Linked DNA regions of Nothobranchius furzeri. The protein of the gene in region 2 purifies or fractionates together with the protein of the main gene of each other region. This does not show direct contact. Links are inferred from orthologs where the notes say so. Each region holds a gene or a part of one and is shown on either strand. Other genes may lie near its edges. The genes, in order: capzb and washc3.

Region 1 (4,082 bases), on a different chromosome or scaffold from region 2:
TACGCAACATGTTTAACGTGAGGTATCAGAACCATGATGGAGGGATTTACATTTCAGTGGTGGAAACAAAACCTGTTGCACACTGCTGCCAACTAGCGGGTGGCGATTGAATTGCACAAAACGAAAAGAAAATGCACAAATGTTTGCATGTAAATTCTTTCAAGAATGAGATACACAGCTTTTGAATATCGATGTAATAATCACAGGAAAAAATACCACGATATATTGCCATATCGATATTTTCTTACACCCCTAATTCCCTGAGAAGGCTGTGTGAACAAAACCTGGCTGCGCAGAGATGGGCCAGCCCAACCTAGACTGCCATATGAGACAGGACCTTAGTGGGCAGACCAGTTGCAACAGGAAACTGTTTTAAGGAGTGACATTTTTAAGGTGAGATAACAGGCTGCAGAAGTGTCTACACATGTTTTCATCCAACCTTTACCAGACAGACAGAAACAAAGTCTTCAGAGATCACATGTAAATCTTATTGCTCCAGCACTTACATAGTTAAGGTGCTAAAATATACACTAAAACACAACAGATTACACCTATGTGTGCCCTTAGTTTGCAAAAAAGTCAAAGAATTGTTGAGCTATGTATATGCTTCTTTTACGCTCTCGTTTTTGTCATGCTTTTATTTTGAAGGTGTTAAGAGTGCTTACGTGACTTCCTGACTCCAAACAGGTTGGTCAGATGAAATTTAAGGTAATGTGTCTCACCTGTGTGTGTGTGCAGAGAGATGAGTAAAGCGTTCTGAGACTTCTCTTCCTCTGTCTTTGTGAACTAAGTTGAACCGCTGATAAATGTAAGCTCTGCTAACAAGAATGACAAACGACACAAAACCCAATCCAATGCTCCTATAAACCAACAATAAAGTATGTTGAAACAGAAGAAAAACAAACAAACAAACCCCTATCTCAACAAAATGTGTTATACCAGATTAATTCACTTCCCTTACAGATGTAAACAAAACCATCTAACATGGGTAATCCACACCTGAAGTGTGCAAACATACTAAAGTACATAAGAATGCATCAACCATCTGGTACAAGAATAATGACATGCTACAAAGCAGAGAGCCCTCTGAGCATAAATATTTTCATTAAGGCTAAAACAGAACATAACAGATGTTTATAGGAAGTGTCTCGCATAAAATCTCCCGTCACAAAGGTCACTTTTTAAAATCAATTTCTAACTGATGAATCACTCTGCTTCATTAAACACCCGTGTTTCTTGACAATGCATTTACAAGTGCTGCTGTCTTCATGTAAACACCGATCAGACGAGCAACTTCTGGGGTCATAGGAGAACAGACTAAAGACGGGGGCAGCTGTTCTACTTGGTTTAGTTCCTGTTGACGTCAAACAGTCATGCTGCCTACTTGTGGAAAGAAAATGCTAAAAAACTGGATGTAAAATGAAGCTAGTAAAAGGGTTTGAGTAGAAAACAAATACGTTTGAATTTTAAGAGATAAGCATCATATCTATTAACAAATGCCACCCTCTGCATTGTATTGTGTGTTTGAACTTTTGTCAGGAAACAAACGCGAGTTGCTGAAACTTTGGGCAACAAATTAACTGAAGCAGAAAAGAGATTCATATTATCTCAGTGTTATGGAAAACCTGTTTGATATCACTTGAATGGAACAAGCACTCATGCGGTGTTAAGTGAATGAGTCTTGTCAAACTAGTAATTCAGATAAATAACAAGCATCTTTTTGGTTCTCTGGAGTCACCACGAGACTAAAAAAAGGCTTACAGAGAGTTTGGAAAACTTAGAACATTAAAATATGTTGCTAAACATAGAAAAATATTGCAGCAACTGTTTTATTACATTTTTAAATAATTTCATTAACAGTTAATATTCTAACCCTTGTAACTTTTGCTGTTATTTTCACACATATCTGGGGTTCATACAATTCAATAGATTAAACAGTTAGAAAAATTCTGTCATTTTGTTTAGTTCAATATGATGTTTTATGGATTAATTTGACATAACATACAAAGGTAACCATATTTTAAGGCTGACGAGAATAAAATTAGACTAAAAATAAGTCATGTGAACATGGAGACTGGGCTGGACTGGGTGTCAGACCTATCCAGGAAAATGTAGAGAAAGGCAGCCAACTTGTCATGATTAGAAATAGTAGGAGCAAGCGCTCTTATTTTAGCTGCGAGCCACTCCGTGCTTGGCTGTTTCAGCCAGAGTAAAAGGGTGGATGAACTGTGTGAGTGTGTGTGAGAGAGAGAGCTAAATTAGGATTGATCCCTGCTGTAGCAAACTTGTGTCAAATACAAAACATCCTGTGTTAACTTTACCTATGAGGCAAGTAGATTGACTACTGTTAGCAGGAAGCTAACTAGCAACTTAGCCATGAAGCTAAATAATACTTTTCGCCACGCAGAAGTTCTGCTAGCCACGCAAGTTGGATGCACTCAGTGATTTGTGCTCCGTGCTCCTCTCAAATTACCACCCAGCTCCTCCAACCAGCAGCTGAGTGAAAAAGCAACCGCAGCCAAAGCCTAAAACCCCATCTCCAACCAGCTTCTCCGAGGGCCTTACCATGTCTGCGGCGGTCTCAGCGGGGATCGATATCACCGATGACTGTACACCTTAGCTTTGTGGTGATTTGCCAACGTACTTCTCTGGTCTCTTGTCGTTTTTATTTATACTTAGTACCCCGCGGAAGATGTTTTGTTCGCCTCTCCCTTTCTGAACCCAGCCCTGTCAGCGAAATTTACTTCCTCAACCCGGGCTATAGGAAGGAGGCTGCGGTGAGAAAACAGGCCCCGCTTGTACATCCGGGTCACTGGGGGTTAGTTTGCATCAGCCAATAGCGACGGAGCAAGAAAGGCATTGCCAAGTATGGAAAGAGATGAGCTTAGCAGCAAATATGCAGCCAGGGAGGGCGGAAGATGGACAGCTACTGAAAAAAAAACTATAATTGCAAACTGAAACTACAAATAAATAATAATAACAACATAAAAACCTGTCATCCATATTACAATTAAAATTCTTCCTGTCAACATTTATATAATTAGAACTGAACATTATCATTTGAAACTGGCCGTGTTCAGAAATTTAGTTTTGCTCAGTGACCGTAGAAAGAGGTTTTGCTGTTTTATGCATTCTTTATCAAGGTTGTTTCATAGAATGCTTAGGCAATGTTATTCAAATATAGGTCTGCAAGTCATAAATTTCAGACTTCATGAATCATGAGAGGATTAATTAAAAATGATAAATCAAATGCAAATAAAAGATTTTGTTTAATCAAAATTTTAAAAAGATGCTCAGTTACTGAAAAACTAAACATACCTGTGTTTTGAAATCGGAACAAAATGTAGGACACTTCTGACACATCTTTATTTATTTATAGTAAATGGCCTGCATGTGTTCTCATATACCTTCTAGAGTTCTACAACCCTCCAAGGCACTTCACAACACAATCAGTCATTCACCTGTCCCACCCCCTCCCCCAATGTTTTCCAATGACATTTTTTTGTCCTCTTCACTTTTTACCATCCAAAAACAATATCACGCTGTATTAAATAGACATTGGTTGACCACTAGGACCAAGCAGAAAACAACCACTTGTGTTTACGCCTGTTTCTCATTAGAACCATCCATGAGCTCATCTATTGGCTCTGCTGATACTTACTAACGTGTGATTGGCCATTCTTGTTGTCGTTCCAGGTTGTAAACAGGATGTGCTTTCATCATCGGGATCTCCTGATAAATCCCTGCTTGATCAGGCGCTCCCCTCCCAGATTCGCCGGCGCCACAAACGATTCTCAGGTGGATTCAATCCCATATCGGTAATCAAGGCTTATGCACACCTATAGGCAGCCCTTGTTAATCGATGCTAGATAAATGAGAATGGAAGTAAAGGACAGAGCCTCGTTCTTCATCTAGACATCCCCCATGTCTAAAGTCAAAACCACATCCTTGCATTCACCCATGCACAAACACATTCACACGGTAGTGATGATTAGCTACAATGTAGCCACAGCTGCCCTGGGGTGCACTGATGGAAGTGAGGCTGTCTAGCACTGGTGCCACCAGTCCCTCATACCACCACC
Region 2 (4,791 bases):
TGTTCTTATCTTATCTTATCTTCTATGATCAGGTGTCTCACAGCTAAAAATACTTCCAAAATGGACGTGGACAGTGGATCGCTGAATAACGTGCAGCGTCATTGTGCAAACATGACATACATCTCATCACAAATGGCGCAAGCCTGTCTTGTTTGCACAGTAACGATGGGAATTAATCAGCGAGACCCAATCTATACTTCAGTTTAAGTCTGACCACTTTGGTGTAAAGAGGAGTTCATGTTTGACTCAGTCACTGCAGAAATAAGCCCAAATCATCAGCCCCCTGCCACCGTGCTTTACAGAGGACAGGAGGTGTTTGAGCTGACCTGGTGCACTGTTTTAACCAAAAGTGATGGCTTGTTTACTGACCTCGGCCTGAACTCTGTGCTGCAGACTCAGGAAATCTGCCCTGAAGGTTTTCCACCTTTCTCACTGTAAATATGTAACGTCACACTTCTGGATAGGATTTTACAATCCTGTCAGAGTGTGAGGAGGACAATCAAAATCCAATCCGATCACTATGCAAACAAAGCAGCCAGTAACAAACATACTTCTTTGAAGGTTCTCAAAACTAAAAGTCTATCCTTTACAACAGGAGGGGAATGTTGAGCCTTTTTTGTACGTAAACTCCAAAAGAAAACAAAACAACAGTTGCGTTGACGGCAGGTTTCTACTTGTTGCATCGACCAAAGAGCTGATGACAATCTACATTCCGACTTAAAAAGAAAAGTTCAACTGCCGATTTTTGGCATCACAGACTCCCAAACAAGAAAAAAGACACAAAGACTGTTTTGGCATTCATCGTGGCCGATTGAACCTGCATGTCTGTTGCAGGTGGGTCTGAACTCCTACCTCTGAGGAAGAAGGTGGTCCTGCTGCTACACCGTTAGTTAGGTTCTGACCGATAGTACTGGGTCCTTTAGTGTGGGAGGCCTGCTGTTGGTTGAGGCCCTCTACTGTGACGTCCTCCAGTCCAGGAATAGAGGACAGCTGCTCAGAACAATGTCACTGCATAAGTGAAAAGACAACATCCAGAAACGGTATCAAGGTCTCACAAGTTACCTTAGCCTCTAAAATGCTGAGTGTGGTTTCAATCTGCTGTATGCGAAGAGAAATGTTTGCAAGTTTCTGTGAAGAGAAGTAAAAAAAATAAATAAATACATAATTTGAGTTCATATTCTGAGGCAGAAGAAGCATTAAGGAGTAAAAAACAAACAAACAAACACAAACCTCTTCACACACGGTGGAAAACTGGTTAAGAAATCGTACGGTGTGCACAACAAACTGGTTGAGAAATCCAACGATTCGTCTCTGCTGTATTGCAGGAACCTGAGAAAAGATAAAAGCAGTATAATTAAAAACTTACCAAGTGTTACTATAGTTTATTTTACTAAACATAAACCTCTAGTATAATTGATTTTTGAATGTTATGGCTTTAAATAATATTGAGGGGATTCTAAAATGACTTTTAACTACTGCTGTTAAAATGTTTTTTGTAAATCTTTATTGAAACAAAGCAGTACAAAACAACAATTAACACCAGGGAGAATAAACAACATCTACATAAACAGACCAGGGTCATGTGTTAGCAGTGTTATTTAAACAACACAATAACATACAGTAACCTGTGGATTATTGCAAAGTTTCAAGTATTTGAGAGAATTTTAAAAGCAGCTGAGTTCTACCTTTAAAGTCTTGCATCAAACAAAATGCTAATGGCAAAAAGAATGATGAAAACTATCAAATCTGATTTTCTGTGTTGGGTAGTTACTAATTATATTTACTTGAGTATTTTTAGGAAAAAGAAATGCAACATTTTAATTAAGTCTTTACATTATATAATTTATCATATAACATTATACTATTATCTGTTTGAATGGATTTTATAAATTAAAGGAGCTGTTATGATTACTCATTATTTGAGCAGCTTTTTTGCAAACACAGTTTTTGTACTTTTTTTTAACTACTCAAGTAAACATATATGAAAGTAATGCTACTCTTATTTGAGTATAATCTCTGGCTACTCTACCCACATGTCTGACTTTGCATATAATGGATGCAAATCGGTGTGGAGGAAAAACATTTGGAATAACAGACTACTGTATATCAGGTGTTGTGCCGAAAAGAGCACGCCTACCGAAATGTGTATCCCCGTCGAAAGACGCAAATTGAAGAAGAATTTGAATTATGAGCAATTCAGAATTTGAACACGTTTCTAATCCGTGTTTCTCCTGAAAAGATTTTGTTTTTGACTACAAATATGATGAAATAATGATTAAATAATTGACCTTTTTCAACACGTTTGACACTAATGTTTTAGCAAGTATTAAACAATTTTGTTGGTTTAAAAAAGCAGACTCAAAATGACTAACCTTTTATATGTGCATTATATTACTTAAAATAAAACATGTTATAAACAGTAGTTTATTTTACTTATTTGCTCATAAACCATCATTTTGTAAGGAAGGATGCAGCTCATGTTGTACACATTTATTAAAAAGCGGTCTCATACGCGCCTTCCCGCAGGGGATGCACATTTTCGCAGACAAGCTCTTTTCGGCACAACACCGGTAATAGAATCTAATGAATGATGTATTCAAATAGAACATCAGTGTTCGGAGAGAAAACGTTCTTTCCTCTTTTGATACTTCTTTAGAACAAACCAAAAGGAAAATGACTAGGCAAACAGTTACAAGTAGGTGAAATTAGTTAGAAAAAGGCCACAGTTTTCTCTGCATTAGTGATTATATATTTTGTTAAAAAGCACAAACATAGCTTTGGGTTCTCAGGTTTTCAGTGTTAGCTAACCAGTTAGAAACACAAACCTTCGTAAGATCGACTCCTGACCCGACTAACGGCAGGCCGTCCTCGTCCATGTTAGCGTTTTACACTTCCTGTGAATAGGAATGTGGTTTCAGGTCTAATGGCACGAAATTTGAAAGAAAAAATGACATGAAACAAAACATTTACACCGTTGAAGGCTTCACGTGACACTGAGCAGTGTGACTGGCTACGTGATTACGTCACTCTAGGAAAAGGAAATGATTAACTTTTATTTTGAAGAGGCATCAATGCACTCGAATTCACACTTTTATATTTCGAGCTGTCGAAATTTTCTAAACTTTTTCTTTATCTAGTCATTGGCTTTGAAGTAAAAAAGAACTTGAAAATAATAGCATTCTGAAATTCATTAGAAAACACCAAAACACGTCTTTCAGACATATATTTTGAAAAGCGGAAACTTGAGTGAATACTTGAGGAAGCGATGCTTGCGCTCTAATAGCGCATTAGCCACCAAAACAAACAGCACAAATATACACAGATTCCTCAAATTCACTTGGTGGGATGCTTTAATGGAAGTTGTGGAATCAAAAGAAAAAATGGAGGGTATGTATGTTACCAGTTTGCCTTTCTGATATTTTCTGGAGACGTGTTTGTTTTACTATCAGTGGGCTCTGTCTATTTAAAGGAACCACAATGTTCATTATTTGGCAGACTGTTGTTGTTGCGCAGTGGAAGTTAGCTTGCTGTTAAATGTACAGACACTCTTACGCGATATATTGTTTTAACTAAGTTGCGAAGCTTTTGAGTAACATCTGTGGACATTTTCCAGATTGTGTATCTAAAATGTTAAAGATCTGTCCAGGATTTTCTCCAGTTCAAAAGCCTGTAGCTCAAATTCAATTCAAGTTTATTTATACAGCGCCAAATCACGACAAGAGTCGTCTCGAGGCACTTCACATAGTTAACATTCCAATACAGGTCAGTTCATTAAGCCAATCAGGAAAAAAAGTTTCCTATATAAGGAACCCAGCAAACTGCATCCAGTCACTGACTGGTCTCAGTGACTTTAGCAAGCAAGCAAGCAAATGACAGACAACAATGTAACAGATCACGTGATTGTTTTATTGCTTGATTGTTTTTAATTATCTGTATGAAGCCAATAACTGTTTCAGTTATGTGTAAAATGTGAGAACTTTGCAAAATCACATCGTGAAAATTTTATCCACCTGCTGTTTCCTGCAAGTACTCTGAATGCTCTCTGAATTAGGGGGTGTGTTACTGCCCTCCATCGGTCATTTCTGACTTTACACATTAATGTTTCAGACCCAAACTTCCCTTTGCCCTCCTTTCGCCTCCTGGTGCCTCCCTTGCATCTTCTGTCTGCTGCTATGTGGAATCTGATGAAGGGGAAAGATGTGATGAACTATGGGAAGCTGCAGGAGTTTGTGTCCATGCTGACAGAAGCAGTTCCTGGTTTGATCAACCACAGACAGAGAGCGCATCTCCTTCTCGGATTGAAGGCCAGGGTGAATGGTGTTTTGTTTCACATGCAAACGTTCTTGTTTTGGTGTCTCAGTCGTGCATTAACATATTTTGATGATATTTCAGTTGATTTTGGAGTTGTGCAAGGGTTCTGCTCGACACGATGTTGATTCTGATGTGATCCAGACCTACTTGGAGGGATTCCCAGTTACCTCTGCAACCACAGACGTATGTAAACTAATGATACTTGATGCAAATGTCAATGTTTTCTTGAAGAGCGCTCTCTGAGTGATATGATATGATTTTTTTTGCAGACTGTGGACACAGAGGTGAGAACAACCGAGTGCACTTTTATTGCACTTGTTCAGAGCTTGCTCAAAGATCCGGCTGAAAGAGCATATTTTTTTCAGGTGAGGCAACTTTTTAAAACAAACTTATCTGACTGAACTTCAGAGTTTAAAAGACCATTTTCGGTGCTACAGGAGGTGTTTCCTGTTGAATACGGGCCACAATATGATTCAGCAC

What was found.
Region 1: the proteins of washc3 (region 2) and capzb purify together in Homo sapiens (co-immunoprecipitation; 4 studies listed by BioGRID and IntAct, with this or other methods). This does not show direct contact. The link is inferred for Nothobranchius furzeri from reciprocal best matches to the Homo sapiens genes WASHC3 and CAPZB.

Annotation. Positions count from the first base shown.
Region 1 is NC_091743.1:46,417,071-46,421,152, reverse strand, and holds the start of capzb (F-actin-capping protein subunit beta), read right to left. Parts: upstream 2,801-4,082; 5' UTR 2,569-2,800; coding exon 2,566-2,568; intron 1-2,565. UniProt on the Homo sapiens protein: F-actin-capping proteins bind in a Ca(2+)-independent manner to the fast growing ends of actin filaments (barbed end) thereby blocking the exchange of subunits at these ends.
Region 2 is NC_091741.1:43,372,128-43,376,918, forward strand, and holds the start of washc3 (WASH complex subunit 3), read right to left. Parts: upstream 3,012-4,791; 5' UTR 2,877-3,011; coding exon 2,826-2,876; intron 1,330-2,825; coding exon 1,231-1,329; intron 1,129-1,230; coding exon 1,063-1,128; intron 991-1,062; coding exon 853-990; intron 1-852. Other genes in the region: uncharacterized protein, read left to right, coding at 3,354-3,387, 4,108-4,310, 4,393-4,494, 4,581-4,676, 4,749-4,791. UniProt on the Homo sapiens protein: Acts as a component of the WASH core complex that functions as a nucleation-promoting factor (NPF) at the surface of endosomes, where it recruits and activates the Arp2/3 complex to induce actin polymerization, playing a key role in the fission of tubules that serve as transport intermediates during endosome sorting.